4 linked regions of the Drosophila melanogaster genome follow. The protein of the gene in region 3 interacts with the protein of the main gene of each other region in a pairwise test. Each region holds a gene or a part of one and is shown on either strand. Other genes may lie near its edges. The genes, in order: Targ, CG42690, Tim17b2 and CG14823.

The links.
Region 1: the proteins of Tim17b2 (region 3) and Targ interact in a two-hybrid assay, tested with the Drosophila melanogaster proteins (one large-scale study listed by BioGRID).
Region 2: the proteins of Tim17b2 (region 3) and CG42690 interact in a two-hybrid assay, tested with the Drosophila melanogaster proteins (one large-scale study listed by BioGRID).
Region 4: the proteins of Tim17b2 (region 3) and CG14823 interact in a two-hybrid assay, tested with the Drosophila melanogaster proteins (one large-scale study listed by BioGRID).

What each region holds. Positions count from the first base shown.
Region 1 is NT_033778.4:14,666,550-14,672,211, reverse strand, and holds Targ (tarag), read right to left. Parts: upstream 3,822-5,662; 5' UTR 3,797-3,821; coding exon 3,774-3,796; intron 3,765-3,773; exon of another isoform or gene 3,714-3,764; coding exon 3,112-3,713; intron 2,945-3,111; coding exon 2,694-2,944; coding exon of another isoform or gene 2,690-2,693; intron 2,626-2,689; coding exon 2,289-2,625; intron 2,239-2,288; coding exon 1,622-2,238; intron 1,561-1,621; coding exon 1,068-1,560; intron 1,004-1,067; coding exon 747-1,003; 3' UTR 537-746; downstream 1-536. Other genes in the region: CG12860 (uncharacterized protein), read left to right, coding at 5,521-5,662.
Region 2 is NT_033778.4:19,943,725-19,947,506, forward strand, and holds CG42690 (uncharacterized protein), read right to left. Parts: upstream 2,154-3,782; 5' UTR 1,957-2,153; coding exon 1,857-1,956; intron 1,810-1,856; coding exon 1,715-1,809; intron 1,663-1,714; coding exon 1,506-1,662; intron 1,446-1,505; coding exon 1,384-1,445; 3' UTR 1,216-1,383; coding exon of another isoform or gene 1,116-1,215; intron 1,063-1,115; coding exon of another isoform or gene 968-1,062; intron 908-967; coding exon of another isoform or gene 757-907; intron 695-756; coding exon of another isoform or gene 624-694; 3' UTR 539-623; downstream 1-538. Other genes in the region: CG43195 (uncharacterized protein), read right to left, coding at 624-694, 757-907, 968-1,062, 1,116-1,215; CG42691 (uncharacterized protein), read right to left, coding at 2,369-2,439, 2,498-2,654, 2,706-2,800, 2,848-2,947; CG30447 (uncharacterized protein), read left to right, coding at 3,609-3,782.
Region 3 is NT_033779.5:15,483,027-15,486,069, forward strand, and holds Tim17b2 (translocase inner membrane 17), read left to right. Parts: upstream 1-1,702; 5' UTR 1,703-1,810; coding exon 1,811-2,341; 3' UTR 2,342-2,519; downstream 2,520-3,043.
Region 4 is NT_037436.4:7,064,445-7,070,008, forward strand, and holds CG14823 (uncharacterized protein), read left to right. Parts: upstream 1-1,869; 5' UTR 1,870-1,939; coding exon 1,940-2,282; coding exon of another isoform or gene 2,283-2,329; exon of another isoform or gene 2,330-2,416; coding exon of another isoform or gene 2,417-2,424; exon of another isoform or gene 2,425-2,523; intron 2,524-3,110; coding exon 3,111-3,335; intron 3,336-3,559; coding exon 3,560-3,783; 3' UTR 3,784-3,797; coding exon of another isoform or gene 3,798-3,962; 3' UTR 3,963-4,026; coding exon of another isoform or gene 4,027-4,176; 3' UTR 4,177-4,229; coding exon of another isoform or gene 4,230-4,355; 3' UTR 4,356-4,409; coding exon of another isoform or gene 4,410-4,554; 3' UTR 4,555-4,606; coding exon of another isoform or gene 4,607-4,755; 3' UTR 4,756-5,019; downstream 5,020-5,564. Other genes in the region: CG32391 (uncharacterized protein), read right to left, coding at 3,798-3,962, 4,027-4,176, 4,230-4,355, 4,410-4,554, 4,607-4,755.

The sequences.
Region 1 (5,662 bases), on a different chromosome or scaffold from region 3:
GACATTGTTTTTAACGCAGACGGCAGAGACTTCAATTAAAAATGGATTAAATTAGAGGCGACGATGGGGAAGACTACTGACAATATTAAAAAACACAAGAAAGATTTAGACACAGGACACAGAGGATTGGAGTCATTCGTCCTGCGGATGTCGATTCAAACATTCTTATGTTTATGTGTTCACATTGATTTATATTTTTTTTTTCGTTGCTTTAGCTCTAAATAATATGTAAAAAAATCATCATAAAATATAAAAAATGAAGAAAAAAAAAACAAAACATTGAACAGTAGACGTACAAAGTTTAGAAAGCAAATCAAAGTAAACAAGAAGCGTGAAAATTTGCATACCCAAACAAGGAAAAATGGAAACAAAACCAAATGAAAAACCAAACACAGCACACTTGAACCTATAAGCGTGGAGCCAAAGTGTGTTGTTCAGCAACTAAGCTAATATTAGATGTAAACTAAGCTAACTAATAACTTAAAATGGATTGCAATAAAAGTCAACCCCAAAAAGAACTCACTTGAATTGAAATTATATTGAAAATAAATCTGTAATAAGGAGGAAGTAATAGTTAATGACATCGGTCAATTAACAATTACATGGATATACAAACATTTACTCAGAATTTGGAACGAGGACCAGTAAAAAAAAGTCATAAAAATGCCTAAGCTATTAGTTGTAAGACAATCCCAAGTTCCAAGCAGGAGAACCAATAAATATTGCAATTCCAATAGTCCAATTCCTCATTGGGCCATCCTGTTGCGACATTTAATAAGCAAGGGCAGCAGAAGCTTCAGAAATCCGGACACTATGAGACATAATCCCGCAAAGCAAAAGGCAGCAGAATAGTTTCCCGTGATGCCTATCAATTTACCAGCAATTGTAGTCCCAATAAAGGCGCCCATTCCCATGGCCAATGAGGTAATCCCAAAAGCGTTGGTCAGTTTTGAAAGTCCCAGGTATTTCACGTATATCAAACCTCTCAGTGTGGAATAAACAGCTATTCCATGGAAATGAGAGAGGGTAATATTGTAAACTTAAGTAAGGTAAGTAAATGTACGCACCAGGCGCTACAGCATAGGAGAAGCCATACAGAAACTGGAACCAAATCAAGTTCTCTCCATAGAAGGCGCTAATCAAAACGGAAACACCACCGAAAATTAGACCACAACCACAAAGTCCGAGGGTCCAACTACGCCTTTTGTAAGCGAGGATGCCAAGGATGTTTCTCATCACAAGATTACTAATTCCGATAATGGGGCCGATCATACGGGCATATTCGACGGGGATCGTGGTTCGTGCAGACGAGTAAACAAAGGGTATATTAAAGCCCATCGGGAACAGAAAGGCGGACGCCACCAGAATCTTGAACTCAAACTGTTTCAGCAGGCGGTAGTCGAATAGTTTGAGCACAGTGAGCATAAACCGGCTATTCCTACAGGAATTTTGCTTTTTCTGATTCTCGTTTGACCATCTTCGTTCCCTATGAACTCTAGAAATCCTATCGGGTTCATCATCCACACGAATGTTCTTGATGCCATAGTTCACTTGCTGGGTCTAAGTGAAAGTTGGTGGTGTTCTTAAGTTGAAGCGAATTTATTCTTAATACAACACTTACGTTCTTATCCGATCCCATTAGTAGGAACTCCTTGCCGTCGACGTTCTCCTTGCTGTGCGGCTTTTCGTATTCGGCAGGACCCGTATAGAAGAGATCCTCCCGCTCCAGGGGCGCCGGGCGGATGAGCAGATTCTGCTCATCAGCATTTTGCGACTTCTTCCGCCGCCTCCAACAACAGTTCGAACAGGAGGGGCAGAACTTGGCGCATCCTTTCTTTTTTGGGCGTGGCTCATATGTACTTAGGATACTCCGGCTTTTAGCAGTCATCGCGGATTGACGTAAATAGTCATGCACGTAGAAGTTGCCGTAATACTCATCCGAACTGGTATCCGAAGAACCGGGTAAATGGTACATGCCCACCTGGGTGGGAGCCACCTCCACATAGGCGACCACCATCAACAGGATCAACATTATCAGCCCCGCCTGCGTCCGCAGCATGTTCCTCCATCCGATGATTGGCACCAGCCAGCTGTTGAGGAACGTGAAGAGTACTATGCCCGCACCGCCACCGCTGCAGGAAAATCCATTGGCCATCGGACGGTACCGCTCAAAGTAGTAGCCAACAATCAGCTGCGAACTTGCCCAGATCATGCTCAACGTAATACCACCTGCGCAGGCTAGTACTATTATTCATCGAATATCGTACAGCAATCTAGAATCAACCTACCAAGGACGCTGTAAAAGAAGATCAGCATGGTCAAGCTGACGCTCCAACTGGACGCCAGTATTGAAACTGCGGAACACAGGACCCCAGCGATGGCTACCTTTCGGAAACCAAAACGATTTATCAGGACAGCAGAAAACGCTCCGCTAGTGAAGTAGCAACCAATCTGGACACTGGCCACAAACGATACCGACGATATGGAGACATCCAGATCCTGGGCAATGGATGGCAATAAGACCCCAATGGTAAAAATTAAACCATCGATTATCAGCTGGGCGAGGAAGGACAGCACCATGATTACCCAACCGAATCCGCCGTCCGGTGGTATCACCATATAGATCTGTGGATGACAAGAGTCGTCATTCGTTTCTCAATTCACCACCACAAGAATGCTATTCACTCACTTACAAAAACCATACCGGAGCCAAGTCGTCTTCCACCACGGCTAAAGTCAAAGGACTCCTTCGAATTTTTACTTTCCATGTCGAACGATTGCTTGCGCGTTCGATTTCCGTCGTATTCGCTGAAAGATTCCGGCGATGCGGTATCGGCCAACTGTACTGTAGTTACATTGAACGAGAGACCCGATTCCTGTTGATCGGTTTCCTTAGGGACCACATATGAATCCTCGGAATCGTATTTGGGAATCAAGGGGGATCCTGTAAGAAGGCTACAGTTTTAGCTACAAGAAATGCATTTGGTAGGTTCCTCAATTTCAAGCAAATGGCCAAAAATAGCTTAGACAAAATTCAATTGCATGACAATAAAATAAAAATAAAAAAAAAAACATTTTTGTAAAAAGGAAGGCAGCGCTATGATAACTTACTCTTTTTATAAAACTTTTGCGTTTTGGTAATGAGTGGTTCTGCCCTATCATATTCATCCGTATAGCTAGTAAAGCTCAACATCTGAGACACCTCATCTGTGCTCTCGATATATTCATTCTCATTATCCCTGTGTGTGGACAATTCCTTGCTAAATCCACGGGTCCTAGAGTATTTTTTCTCAAAGGCCGGTTCCACAAACGGCACCTCAGATATTGGCTCAATTGGCCTAGATGGTGGAATTGCTGGCTGGTTTTTCGAAATCTCAGGCTCATTTGATGCCCCCACAAGCATATGGGGAAATCTTCTGATAGGCAGCTTGGGAAGAAAAGTTGGATTAAAGCTTTCGTAGAACGAAGGCAAATCCACTTCACTCCCGTGAGACTGACTAAGGGACAAGAATGATGTGCGCCCATTCAGGATATCCGTTGAAACTGTGCCGACGGCCACACTGACCATTTGTGGTCGCGTGTTTCGCGTATCATTGTAATAGATGGATGAGTTTTGAACCGAGATGTCCAGCCTGGACAGAGATTGGGATCTCAAGCTACTTCCACTTGGCTGTGCAGCGGCGGTCTTATCTTCATATTGGCTGCTGGGGAAGCTGAAAAACAGAGGGATTTGGTCGAGTTGAGTGCTTTGCTGGGCGAACAGACTCAGTCACCTTCGCCTACGATTCCTGCTCATTTTTCGACTCTGTCGCAGAGTGTTCCTGACATCTTTCACAAATCTCTCTGCGTCTCGACCCGAACCCAATGCACAGTGGCTGGCTACGTGTCTGGCTGCAAGATGAGAAGCCCCAGCAACAGGAACGGGAATTCATGGGGATTCGTGGGATTCGGGAACTGTCGCCAGACATTAGCTGCTCCTGGCTACCAAATGCTGTCATGGCTGCCAGGCGAGCGTGACAAACGGAGTTGGTTGGTAGTTGCTTGTTGGTGACCCCCAGTTGCTCCTCCTCCGCAATTGCCCCACTGCAACTGTTACTTTTTAGCCATCGCCTCGCCATCGCCATCTTCTTTTGCCTGGCGAATCCCTATTGCCACAACCCGATCCCAGCTCCGTTCCACCCGCTTGCCTGTTTATTTTGGGGCCGAAACAAAATTGCATCAGTGCAATTTCATTGATTGTAAGTAAATGAAATCATTCCTTAGTCGTCTGAGTTTTGCACGGAGAGCGGAGCGATTGGAGTGGAGCGGCTAAAGTGCATCTCAGCTTTAGGGGCAGTAACTTCATTGGCAGTCACTCAAAGGCAACAAGAGCTGAAGTATTGGGGTCGACTGTTTCCCCAGTTGATTAAATGGAAAGTGATGCCCGGGCTCTTGAATTGGAGGCAGTCGGTCCATGCTTTATGAAACAAACCTCGCCCCTGGAAACTTTAACTAAGCCAGCCCTGCTTTTGCAAAATGAATTACAAACAAAGTGCACTAATTAATTAGCGTAAAGGCCAGCAAACTTTTCGACCAGCCACTTCAGCTTCATCTACACCTTCCCCCCCCCCTGGATTTTTCCTGTTCTCCCGCGGGGGAGCACCGATTGCAGCGGCTATTTTTCCTGGCCAACAACTCTATGCGGAAATTGTTTTTTTCCAAAAGGTTCGCTCGTACGTGCTCGTTTTTTATGGCCCACGTTGTGTTTTCCTATTTTTCGATTTTTTTTCCCCTGAGCGCCTTGAAATCGAAACGGCCAAAAGATTGCGCTGCCAAATTGTTAACAGCAATTGACCCAATTTTATGGGAGCCCTCATGCATGGCCACTCTCGGACGGCAGTGACTCCAATGAAAATAGCGGCGTAAAAGCGAAAACTGCCCCGAGAACAGCAAGCAGCGAGCGGCGACCAACGCGGCGTATACTTATTCTAGTGGACTTCTGTTGTTTTTTTTTTCGCAGGGGGTCAGCTTTGTATGTATATTTTTCGTTCTGTTTTATTTTTTTTTTTTTTTGTTGGGCTTTGTCGTTTGGCTGGCTGCACTCTGTTTGCATTTAACTTGCAAACAAGCTGGGGCAAAAATTCGTAAAGTGAAGGTTGCGTTGCCTATTTTTTCTTTATTGTTATTTGCCTGCAAATCAAGGCAGCTGGACATTGCAAATTCGCTGGCATCGAATCCATTCGCAATTAACTGCAGAACAAACAAGGAAAACCCATTTGGTCCGTGGCCCGGAAAAGGCTCAATTCGCGACAGTATTCGAGGAATTACACACTTAAATCTGGAATCCATAGAGAAGTAGCTGTTGAAATGTAAATAAAATAGATCCCATCATGGCGGCCTTGGACTAGATTTCTTGCCAACTATTGGTTCAGCACCTTGGTGTTAGCCAGATCAAAGCAGAGCGTTCGCCTGTACAGACCAAAATTTCGTGTCTCTCAACCTGCCACAGCACCGGTTCCAATCCAAAACCTCCGTTTAGTTATGTTTCTGGCCAAAAGTTCATCAATACTTCGCCCGCAGCTTCTTAATGAGGTGAAGGGACTAGTGAAGTCACAATTTCTGGCTCTGTCACAGGTCGACCGACGCTTTGCCCACTCGGACGATAGGTGCGCCAATAAGAAAT
Region 2 (3,782 bases), on a different chromosome or scaffold from region 3:
CGAAGGATTTCATAATCCACGGCATTTGTCTCACTGATTATGCAATCCGAGTAGCCAACAGTTGGGCTGGTACCCTGGTATATGCAGCACACAATTCAGGAAGTCATTTGCCAAACGTATTAAAGCCTTTGTGCAAACAAATGTTTATTTAAATTAGTCGCCCGACAAATAAACACAAAAGACCCAAAAATCGGCCAGAAAGTGCCGAGATACGAAAGCACAGAAATAAACGGTAGCGTTTTGTATTTGATTTTCACTTTCTATTTGCGGTCGGTTTACCATTTGCATTTGATTTGTTGTCACCCATTGTTATTGCCTCTGTTATTTTATGCAAATTCGCATCCCCTGGTCACTGGCTGCTATTTGTTTAATAAAAAAAACTGAAGTCATGCAACAGAGTCGGAATATCGCACAGTCTGTATGTTGATTTTTAGTAAAAGCGGACAGACAAACGTGGCTTAACGTTTATTGATCATTGTTAAAAATATATAACCAAAATTCCCCCTTTTTGGAAATTACATAATATAAAGAAGTTTTTATAAATGGGCTCAGTAATATTTCTTAATAATTTCAGCACTGCCATTATTTATGATATTTCCATCATCTACGCCCAAGTGATAATTTCAAATCATTTGCTGCTCCTTCAGTTCACGCATGTATGCATAAGGATAGGCCGCCCAAACGAAGACCAGCACTGAAAAAAAATTGGTCGTATTATTCATATACTAGCGAAAATTTTAGTTCCAATTGACTAACTTAAAAATATTACATTCAAAATGGCGACCACAATATCTAGATATATACGAAGCCTATTCAGGTATATCATCAATCCGATCTTTATAATTATCAAAGCACCTCCGCAAATCAGTGACACTATTACCCAGATAAGCAGAAGAATAGGTATTTCCTTGAGAAAACATTTGTATCTTAAATTAAACATAGATTGTCTTTACTAGCGAATACTTACCCTAAGTGCACCAATAATCAGAAAAATTGCAGCAATAAAAATGGGAATCCATGCGATCAATGCTGCCACTAACCAATTGTTCATACCATGCAAGGCTAAATATAATGCAGATATTATTTTGGTAGCTTTATAGTAGAATAATTCTTACCTAAATGAAAGCACTCGTAAGATGTCTCTATAGTTCCGACAAAAATCGCAACCAAGGCAATTATCACGCAACAAGGCTTTTGGTTCGCATTCAAGCACATTGTAGTTTTATTTTTCCAATTTTAAAGTATTTCCCATATATCCACAGGAAACAACATTTGATTTAAGCAACTAAAAATATACAAAAAAAAAAAAATGGTTTCAAACTGATAATTTTGTTTGAAATTTAAGTCCAAGACACTGGATATTTTTTATCCGTTTTATCCGTATTAATCTCCTTCCAGCTCACGCGCATACGTATATGGGAAGTATAGAAAACAGCAGAGCAATACTGAAAAATTAAATTTTTTATTATTAAAATGAAAATTATAATACAACTACGTTAACATACATACGAAAACTATAATGACTATACCACCGAGAATATGAAAGGCTGTATCAGGATCCTTATGAAAAAAGCTATGAAACATTTCTATTTGAATAACTATCAGAGAAATGCCGCTTATTAAAGCGACTACTATCCAAATCACCAAAAGATAGCGAATTTCCTAAAACAGGACATGGGTAATATTGGATATTTATTACTTCGCGCTTACTTGCTTTTATTGCTCCTACAATTAGAGGTACCGCTGCTAAAATAATGACAGCCCAGGCTACCAGGTACGCCTCCTCCCAATGGTTTATACCAGTCGTGCCTAAAAACATTGTTATAATAGTATATTTTTTATAAACCTTACTTTACCTAGCCGGTAAAGCATGAATCCTAAACATAAAGTTGATATCAGTATCGCCAATGCTCCGGTAAAGATACATAATAGCTGGCGGTTGGCATTGCAGCACATCTCAATCGGTTCTGTAGATAATAATTCCAAAATTTATAAATCCGAAAATTACAGGATGCGATGGAATGTTATTATTTTTCACCATTATGAATTTTGCAAGGGAAAGAGAAATATAAATTTTATGTAAAAAGCATTTATACAGAATATCTACAGAATTATTTGACATTTAAGTCCAAATTACTTTGGTTTTCATTGATATTTAACACAGGTTTTGATATACAAGTCAACTAACATGTTAGTTAACCCAAAAATAGAGTTATGAAATATTCAGAAACTTATGTCATTTGTTACTAAGAATTTTACAAAAATGAAAATGGTAGTAATTAAAAGTGGCTCAAGAGTTTTGCTAAAATGAAAATCGTAGATTTCAAATGTGGTTTCATAAAAGACACGTTGATATTGAAAATTTAATTTATTCGTATTCCTCTTCTTCAAGTTCACGTTTGTATGCATAAGGGTAGTATGCGGAACAAAATACCAACACTGGAAAAAAATTGTCGTAAAAATATTGCTAAAAAGAAAATTTGAATTGTTAAATTACGTATTAGAAGTATTATAAAGCCGCCTGCAAGAATATAGTATGCGTCACTTGGATGAATGTTTTTGGCTGGAGTGAATAACACAATTTTTATAAAAATTTGAGCAATTCCGACAATCAGTACGATTATTATCCAAATCAGCAGAAGAGTAGTTATTTTCTACAATTAGAAAAATTTACATTTCTTTTCGTTTCTTTAATAATTACTTGCCTTTATTGCGCCTACAATCAGAACAACTGCGGCCATGATTATGAGCAACCAGGCAATCACAGATGCCAGTATCCAACGATTCAAACCATATGTGGCTACGAAATTAACTAATATATAAATGCATAATATGGCACTATTTTACCTAGCAGATGAGTTCGGTATCCTAGATCTAAGGACGCTACAATAAGGGCCAGCACTCCTATAACGACGCAACTGTATTGGCGACTCACATTGCAGCACATCTCAATTTTTGAATGAGTGATAAGATAAGAGGATTTTAATCACAATGATAATGTTTCATTATGCAATTTACGTCTTTTACCGAAATATAAATAGTACATAATCAAAATATTCATGATTTTCCGTTTCTTTATTATTTGAAGTGACATTTAATGCCAAGACGCTTTGTTTCTATGAATAATTTTACACGATAAATATGGGTAACACTGCAGGTGGTTGCCATACTGACTTTTATACCCGTTACTCGTAGAGTAAGCCACGCCCACACTTTTGAAAAATGTTTTGGTATTTTTTTACGTTTTTATTTGTCTTGTAAATTTTTATCGATTTGCAGAAAAAAATTTTTGCCACACACACTCTAACGCCCTAAACCGCCTAAATGTGCCGCGACCACATTTTTAAAAATTGTTGCATATTTTTTAAAAATTGTATTAGTGTTGTAAATTTCTATCCATTTGCCAAAAAAAATCTTCTATAGCATTCTCTCTTGTTTTGTGGTGATTTCCATAGTAGGCTTCGAAATCTAAGACAAGTCTTAGTGATTGTATTATTGCAAGCTGAAACATATCAAACTCCGGAAGGTATATTTTTTTGGAAAACTTTGAATCTTTTTCATATAGACTAATCATTTTCGTATTATTTTCCTTCTGAAAGTAAGCAGGCATGATGTCGAAAGATTTTGATTTTTCTCAGAAGGGTATGAGCGACGCCACTAGTAGCGACTTACGTAACGAGTCAGCACATCCAACATTCTCTGGGACTAAGCAACTTTTCACGTTAAGCTCGCCGTTTTACCAGGGACCCACGTCCTTTGGCGGTAGTGCGGCTATTACTCGC
Region 3 (3,043 bases):
CAACCGCAATTGTTTCGCCCCCTTTGTTCTGGCTGGCGTTTTGGCATGTGCAGGGATTCTCTTCGAGCGGGCAAATGAGTTCCGTTCTGGATTCCCTTTGTAGTGGGTTATGCAGATGCATATTCCTTAAGATATAACAAAATGTTGCATCACAGCTGCCCAAACACTGGCCTCTAACGGAGCATTCGGAGATCGGAAGATGGAAAACGGAACCGTTTTAGAGATCATATCTGTTCGATATTATAATTTTTGAGTTTTTACTGTTTACATAATCATTATTGTTTTAAAAAACATTGCCACAATAGATTACCAAACCTGCATTTCTGTAGCGTACATTGTGGAGCTCGATTTACAGTTGTAGAATGCTGTTCTTAAAATTTTGAATATGGTTTTAAATTGTTCTGTATCCAAAGACAACTGCAGTTTTTTTAATTTCACATAATACGTTGGTATTTTAACAACAAATAATGTTAATAAAATTACTAAATGGGCTAGTAGGCCAATTCCATTTGGCCTGTGACTTCCCAGAAAACTGTAAGGCTCGAATCTCCGGAATTCGTGGGAAACCCATGGTCGGATCGCGTCCTAGAACGGAATGGCCAATCCTTTCGCATAATGTGCCCACATTAACACCACATCGATCTAATCCCATCTAAATCATTTATAAGCGACAACAATTACCGTGGAAATGAAGATTTCATTGGAAATCCCGCAGCAGTGGCAAACAATATGCCCAGTATTTACATTTACAAATTATATATAATGTCTTATCCTGCAGCCATTTCCCGTCAAATGATCCCCGATAACCTTCTCGGGAGTGAGAGCAATCAATCGAGTGCAACACGTTCTAACGATTTACATGTCAAGTTGACGAGATTTGTCCTGTTGAACAATGGACTGGCGCTTCGTGTGTGTCCAGGTGTCCCCTCATACTTAAATGCCTGCCCATCGATTTCGGTTTCGATCGGGGTTTCGCTTTCATTTGTCACTGCTGTCTGACACCTTGTTATGCGGAGATATCCATCGAGGGCCCGAATGCGAAGACTTCCCCCTTTTTCGAGCTAAGCAAACACAGTTGCGGCAGTTTCAAAATTTCGATTATGCTCGCGTGATAATTATGCATGCAATCGTAAGCTTCCCTCCTGAAGTAGTTTGACATACGCAGTATAAAATAGTATTGGGTCTGGAGTTCTGGTTTGGTTCGGCTTGGCTTTATCGGTCGACGACAATCGGTCTCATTGTTTCCGTTTCCCACCGTCTGGCTTTGCCTTTGTACGAATTGCGTCTTTCGAATGGCCCCATCCCCATCCCAATCCGAATCCCAATCCCCCGTCCCCTCCCCATTCTCGAGCCGAAGTTGTCCAGCTGCGGCAGTAAATTTTATGGTTAACTACGGTCCGACATTTGTGCTATTTAACCTTTTTGTGCCATTGAGCTTCGGGGCAAAAGATCCCCGATCCACGTGCGACTCTGTTTGCTCTGACTCTGGTTCATATGCTAATGGGTGTCTGGTGGGGGCACAAACAAAACCAAGTACTTCTTACTTACAACCTGTAGTTTGAAATTTGAGTTCCTGGACATGTTCTCCATGATTTTAAATCTACTAGGTATGTAGCAAGCTTAGTCGCACAATTCACAACAAACTCTGGAATTGACAGACACAAAACTCATAATTTCCTTATACATATCGAGCGACGCCAAGTCACATATAACTCATTTGTAGAAAATAAGCAGAAGGCTTGAAATTTAGCAAATTCAGTTTTTAATTTCGGCCAGTGATAGGAAATCCTGCCAGTGGAAAAGTGCAAAGATGGAGGAGTATTCGCGGGAACCGTGTCCCCATCGCATCGTCGACGACTGCGGAGGAGCCTTTATCATGGGCTGCGTTGGAGGCGGGCTCTTCCAGGGACTCAAGGGATTCCGGAACGCACCACAGGGACTAGGACGCAGGGTCGCCGGCAGTGTGGCTGCCATCAAGACCAAATCTCCGGTGATAGGTGGAAGTTTCGCCGCCTGGGGTGCAGTGTTCAGCATTGTGGACTGCAGTCTGGTCCACTTTCGCCAAAAGGAGGATCCCTGGAACTCGATAGTGAGCGGAGCAGTTACTGGTGGAATTCTGGCCTCACGCAATGGAGCGGCGGCCATGGCTGGAAGTGCAATTATCGGTGGCGTACTGCTCTCAATGATCGAGGGCTTAGGCATATTTTTTACACGTTTCGCGGCGGAACAGTTCCGAAATCGTGAACCGCATATCATGCCTGATGCCAATGAAGGATACGGTGACTTCAACTCTTCCGGATTTGGATTTCCGGGTGCTCAGCAGGCCACTGCAACTAGCTAAATTCCGATTTTTCTTGTCTGGGTATATTAATACGTAGTCCTTTTTGATTTTCATAAGTGCTAGATTTAGCAATATTCCATTTGAAAAATTCGATGACAATAAAATATGGACAAAATTGCAGTATTTCCATTTAAGCTGTTTTTGCAAAGGAACCAATTTATTAAATTTCAAACAATTTAACACGGATTTATAATTATTAAAATACAATTAGCTGCCGTTTGCAGCTCGTTTTGGAAGAAGGAACAAATGCAATTGGCCCTCTTATCGTTCTCCGTGTTAATTCATTCGTATTCATAATCATTATTGCCTCAACAGGTAGTAGGTTGTTTCACACTTGCCCGAATCCACGACAAAGACACCTGACACGTGTCATAGGTCAGCGTGAGATATTGGCAAATGTTTACCTGTTCCAGATGACTACCTGCGATGCTGCGCCGGCGCATAGAGTCAAGTGTCCGGTCGGCGGGTGTGGCCACTTTACAACCTGTCCACTCGAGATGACCGCGGTGTTCTGGCCATTAGACTGAGTGAGGTACTGAGTGGCACTGGCTACCGGCCACATGTCCTGCTCCTAGCTGGAAAGTCTCGAGCGCACTCAAATCAGAACTTTTCCCCCGCAAGGCAAAAAACCAAAGGCAACGCCGATTTCCCAGCAACACATGGACGGTGGGAAGATGGGAAGTCGAGCCCAGTTATAAAATC
Region 4 (5,564 bases), on a different chromosome or scaffold from region 3:
CCCAAAAGCAATCCCAATCCAAACGGTATAAAGGCCATTTAGCCCAACCACTGGTAATTTTTCCATAATTGATTTTGGCTTGCGGTCTGGCTCGTCCTTTCATCTGGCCATGTGTTAGTCAGGGGCAGGAAACCCTCACGCACCCCCACACATACAAATGAGTTTTTGCCTTGGCCGTATGTGAAGAAAAACATACCGAAATGGGAAACGGAAACGCCTTGAGACAATGGCGACATTGGCGAGGCAATGTGGAAATGGCTGCTGTACAGAAAAACTGAAAGAATAATCAACTAAGTGACGGAGCATTTCTTTTATTTGCCGAGCACCTGTGCAGGATGTGTTCAGAGGCGTCCCCAAAAAAAAGGGACGATAGTTTTGGAAAAATTCTTAACGAATATTTGAGCATGCTCTGGCAAAAGAAGGAAATTATTTGCTTGTATATTTCTTTAAATAGGAAATGAACAACTTAAATAAATTCAAAGTCTTCTTTCCCATTTTAAAATCTTAAAATCTTTAATTTGTTTGATATTTTCGCAAAACATGGAATTCTTTTGTATTTACACTTTTGGAAGCAGTTTGTAAAAATTGTTTGAGTGCCAAAAGTCCAAGAATGCAAGGCGTGATTGGAAGGTGTCAACAACTTTGTTCTCATCTCAATGAAAAGTTTTCGAAAAATCTTTGCTGTCCCACTTGATAGCAAACAAACTTGATCGAAGATATTCTAGAAAAATAATATAAATAAATGGGAAGTAAACAGAGATTTGCAGCATTTTAGGATGCATTGCACGGGTACACCCACACTTTGCTGTTGACAGATTTCGATGGTCGTGAAGTAAGTTTGCGTATGAAGAAGTGGCACTTCAGGAGGCTTCGAGGACGTCCTGGTCACACCCCTTCTCGAAGGATGACGCTCCTTCCACTGGATACTGGTGCCACAAACGGCTGCTGTTGTTTGCTGCCCCAACTTTCGTTCCAATTTCGCCGCAAGAGTCTCAACAATTTCTCATATTTGTTTACAATTCGCGCATACAAATGCGCAAGGTTATCAGCAAAACCAGCCACCCAACCACCACCCATTTGGCAAATATCGCCACCCATTTCCCCCCTTTCAATGGACGGCTGCCATAAGTTGTCATGTCGCAAATGGAAGCGGAGTGTCACCGACACCCAATCTAAAGATACACGTGAAAAAATCAAATGAATATGTAATAAAATCAATAAAAACTACATACTGCTGAAATTTAAAAAAAAAATTATGTTCCATGTCACGAAAACATATGTATTAAATATATTAAACTATGCTTCCATGAAAAATTGTGCATACATTCAGTTCTTTATTAGAGCTGTTATAATTAATCAAATGCCAAAGAAATATAAGAGAATGAAATTAAAAATATACAAAGCTTAAAATTAAATGCAGATACCACATTTTTGATAATATTTTTATTCACTTTCTGAAATAATTTCAATCATATTAGTTTGAGTATTATGTGCAAAATAAGCACGGCTTGGTCGCCAATGCTGCCGAATATAGTACTTTTAAAATAAACTCACTACTTGTTTAAATTCGTGCCACTTTTAGGAATGAAACCACATGCAATTTAAACTTGTTGAGGTGTACAACTACTGATGTTCGGGAATTGGAGAAAAATCACCATGTTGAGCGCCACTTGAATGCGAGAGAAAAATCACCGAAATGCTGGAGGAATGGAGAACAAACGCTGGAACAGATTAGCTGGTCGGGGGAAAAAAAAACGCTGGGAATGTAGAAACCGCAATCGCCGGGCATCAATTACGCCGACAACATTGAGCGATAATCGAGGGGAGGTTATCTCGAGCAGCACCTGTAACTTGGTACCATGTACAAATGCCACAGAGTGTTCCAGCTATTCGCTTGGGTTAGTCGGTTTGCGATAGCAAAGGGAGAAGCCAGCTCGCCATGGAGCCCACATGCAGCAGCAGTGTGGCGGAATTGGCCAAATACAGTGAGGATGATGTGGAAACGGATGAGTCCAAGGTGGTGGAGCATCAGGAATATGCCGAAGCGCTGTCAATGTCCGGGGAAAGTCGTAAGCGGAAACGATGGACTCGAAGGTCCTGCTGCACTCGCCAAGTCCTGAGTACGGGCGCCATTTTCATCGCCCTTCTGCTCATCATCGGCGCCATTTACATGCACTTAAGACAGAAGCATCATCTGGGCCGACTGCACATCAATCTCAAGGATCGGGGGCAAGTGGAGGTCCTGGAGGAGGACTTTCCCATGGTCACCGCTGCGGGAGTGGGTGAGTGTGCCACAAGGACTCTTGTTCAATCGCTAAGAAGCTCTTAGACTTCGGTTAATTTTATAAGCGGTTTATATTGTTGGGATAGTGGTATTTTCTCTCTTTTTCTTTGTTTTGTTTTTTTTCTTTCCCAGCTGACTGATTAGAATTGCCATTAGATGAACCAGCAGATTTCAACGTTTCGAAATTATAGCGATAATAAATAAAAGCTTGTATTTATTACACAACAACTATGCAACGCGTGAGTTGTTTTTATTGTATATAAAAAATTTTAATCGATCATTTCAATAAGTGACAGTCATCGACAGTATGTCAAGCACGTAAAAGTTTGAGATTAAACTGTAAATAATAAATACACATCTGCTAAAGTTTGCCAGCATTCAATATAGATTTATAGTTTCTACATTCGCCTTAAGTTCGACTTGAAAACTTTAGTCTCAAACAATTATTTTTCCGACGGAAGACTTATATTTATTAAGTAACAGGAAGTTTGTAAACACCAAATGTGAACTCAATTTAAGTTTCGTTTAGCAACGTCCTCTGCACTTATAAGGCCAAAATATAGTCGGAACTATGTTTTACATCAATTTAAAGTTCATAAAAGTGCAGTTTAAAGTTGCTTCAGTAAATCTGCTAATAAAACATACTCAAAAAACTTTGCAACTAACGAGGAGAGTGCGGTTTAAACGTGAGGTCTAGGAGCTATTTACGTCCACGGGAACTATGGATAACTCACTGCCAACTATGCTGCATGCTGTTAGCCATATTGTGTGGTAAATAGTTTCGATTAAACGGCTAATTGGACCCTCTTTGGAATGCATTTTGCAGATGCCCAGACCTCGACGATAACAACATTCCAGCCGCCTCCGACATCCTCCCCAGAGCCCAGTGCCAAGTGCCTGGACTGCATGGCCACCACTGCCACGGATAATATTCCGGCAATCTGCAGGCACCGAGGACGACCAGAGGAGCCGTGCGGCATTTATCGCATCTCCCACGTCTACTGGCAGGACGCACTCCGGATAATTGACCCGGACGACTCACTCGCCCGGGGTAATGAATACACTGAGCAAAAATGTTTGGCAACAAAATTACAACAAGTCGAAAGCATAAGCCATTTCTCCATTTCTCTATTAATTTTAAATTTGCTTTTCATCTTCAGTTTCAAGATTTTGTTGTAAATTTCTTCATGTGTATCCTGTTGTTGCCAGGCTGCCACAAGCGTGTAATGTCCACCGACTAACCCTTTTTCCTACATCTCACCCTTCAACCCACAGACTACGGAAGATGCGTGGTGGATGTCCAGTGCGCCGAGCGTATTGTGCGTAGCTATGTGCAGCGATATGGTGGCGAGGATTGCAATGGAGACGGACGGATCGAGTGTCGGGATCATGTGAGGCTGCACATGAGAGGACCCGGCGGCTGCCGCAGGCAGGAGCCACTGGGGAGCCTGTCTGAGAGGAGATTGGAAAACTGCTTGAAATACAGGGGGATTACTTAAAACCGATTGTTCGTTTATTGTTTCAACTGCAGGCGATGCATTATGGGCCGCCAGTAGAGGGTTAGCACAAAGAGGCCTATGAACTCGTGGAACAGCAGCAGGGCGGCGAACTTGTCATCGAACAACTTGGTCGAGGCCCTTCTTCCGCCCATGATGCACTGCACATGATACATCAGGAACTGCAAGTGATTTGTGGTTATGCGGCAGACAGTTGCAGGCTGGTAAAATGCGAAAAATGCTTACCATCATCACCACACAGCCGATACAGAATGCGAAGAGATAAAATCCCCAGATCACGTCGAGAACCACATACAATACCAGGGAGTATATGCTCAGTGAGTAAGTGCCAGTTGCAAGGGCATATAGGTAGAGTCCGGTGCCTGTGAGGTCATACTTAGGCAAGATTTTGGTTGATTATTTAACATCCTTTATCTGTACTAGCTTACCGCCATTAAAGCAGCTATAAGTGTACATAACACAAATGCAAGGCTGACAATCAGAAATCCGGCAAGCATATAAAGTACTCCCGATGATATGATCAGCACACTGAGAGAAACTACCACACATTCCACCTTAATATGCTATGGGGTTACATTGTTAGGTAATTTAATTGTTAGAATACCCACGATAATAAACGTAATCAGCCAGTTGACACAGGACATTTTCCTTAGCGGCATACTTAGGGCAAACAGGAAAAGTAGGAAAATGCCAAATACAAAGGCTAGGAGCAATGCAGATGAGTGCTCGTTTACCAAGACCAGAAACCATTCGCTAGTAGTAATTACATAAATCATAAGTAAAAAAGTTATTATCCAAATCTTACTGCAGCAAGGTTAGCACCAGGATCCAGTGAACAAATCCTATCACAATGAAGACGCATAACTCCAGAATAACCTTTATGATATATCTTCGCCTATCATCCACAGATTCCGAGTGGAAAAACGGCCAGATGGTTATATCTGCCTCGAACATGGCAAAAGAAAAAATAGTTTGATTTTGGGCACCAGGCCGTCTGAGGCAAAGTAACTCTGAGATTCGTATAAAAAATTTACGCTATTCCCGGCATGGACACACTAATTGCACATCGAAATGGGCCGTCCAGAGCACAAAGTTAATGGGAGCGAATTAGAACAAACAATGACGACGATTCGGCGTACATAATTGAACTCGACAAAACTTTATAATCTGGCAGCATCGCGAACAAATTGAACAACAACTCGCAAGTGTGTAATAATTAAAAGTTTGCGCAAAATGTAGCGGACAAACAAGCGGAGGGGAGACAAAAGTTTTGGCGCAAGTTTTAAATCATTTAGCAGGGCCGGACTAATTGCTGCCATGTCGCATTAATTTGTTGCGACTGATAGCGGGCAAACAGTGCGTATGCGCAATGCATAAATTTATGATTTCCATCATGGCCTACCTAGGATTTGTCGGACTCTTAATCGCAGGATAAAGAGACTTATGGCATAGGTTTGCATATACTTATAATACAAATCTAAGAACTTTTTGTTAATTCATGATTCAACTTCAATGTTTATAAAGTTGGCAGAGTTTTAATACCGAGATATTTTTCTCTGTATTTTATATTTCACATTTAATTATTTTAGCCTTACCGACATCAATGCCCAAGTAAGTCGGCATTGTTTATCCCTAGGACGATGACGTTGATTTCTGCCTCGCCTGAGTCCTAATCTCTCGATTGCATGACAAGTGTACATAACTTTATTCAATCAAATGTGCAAATAGCGCATGTTGCAAACAGAAATAGTCCAAATGAGCAG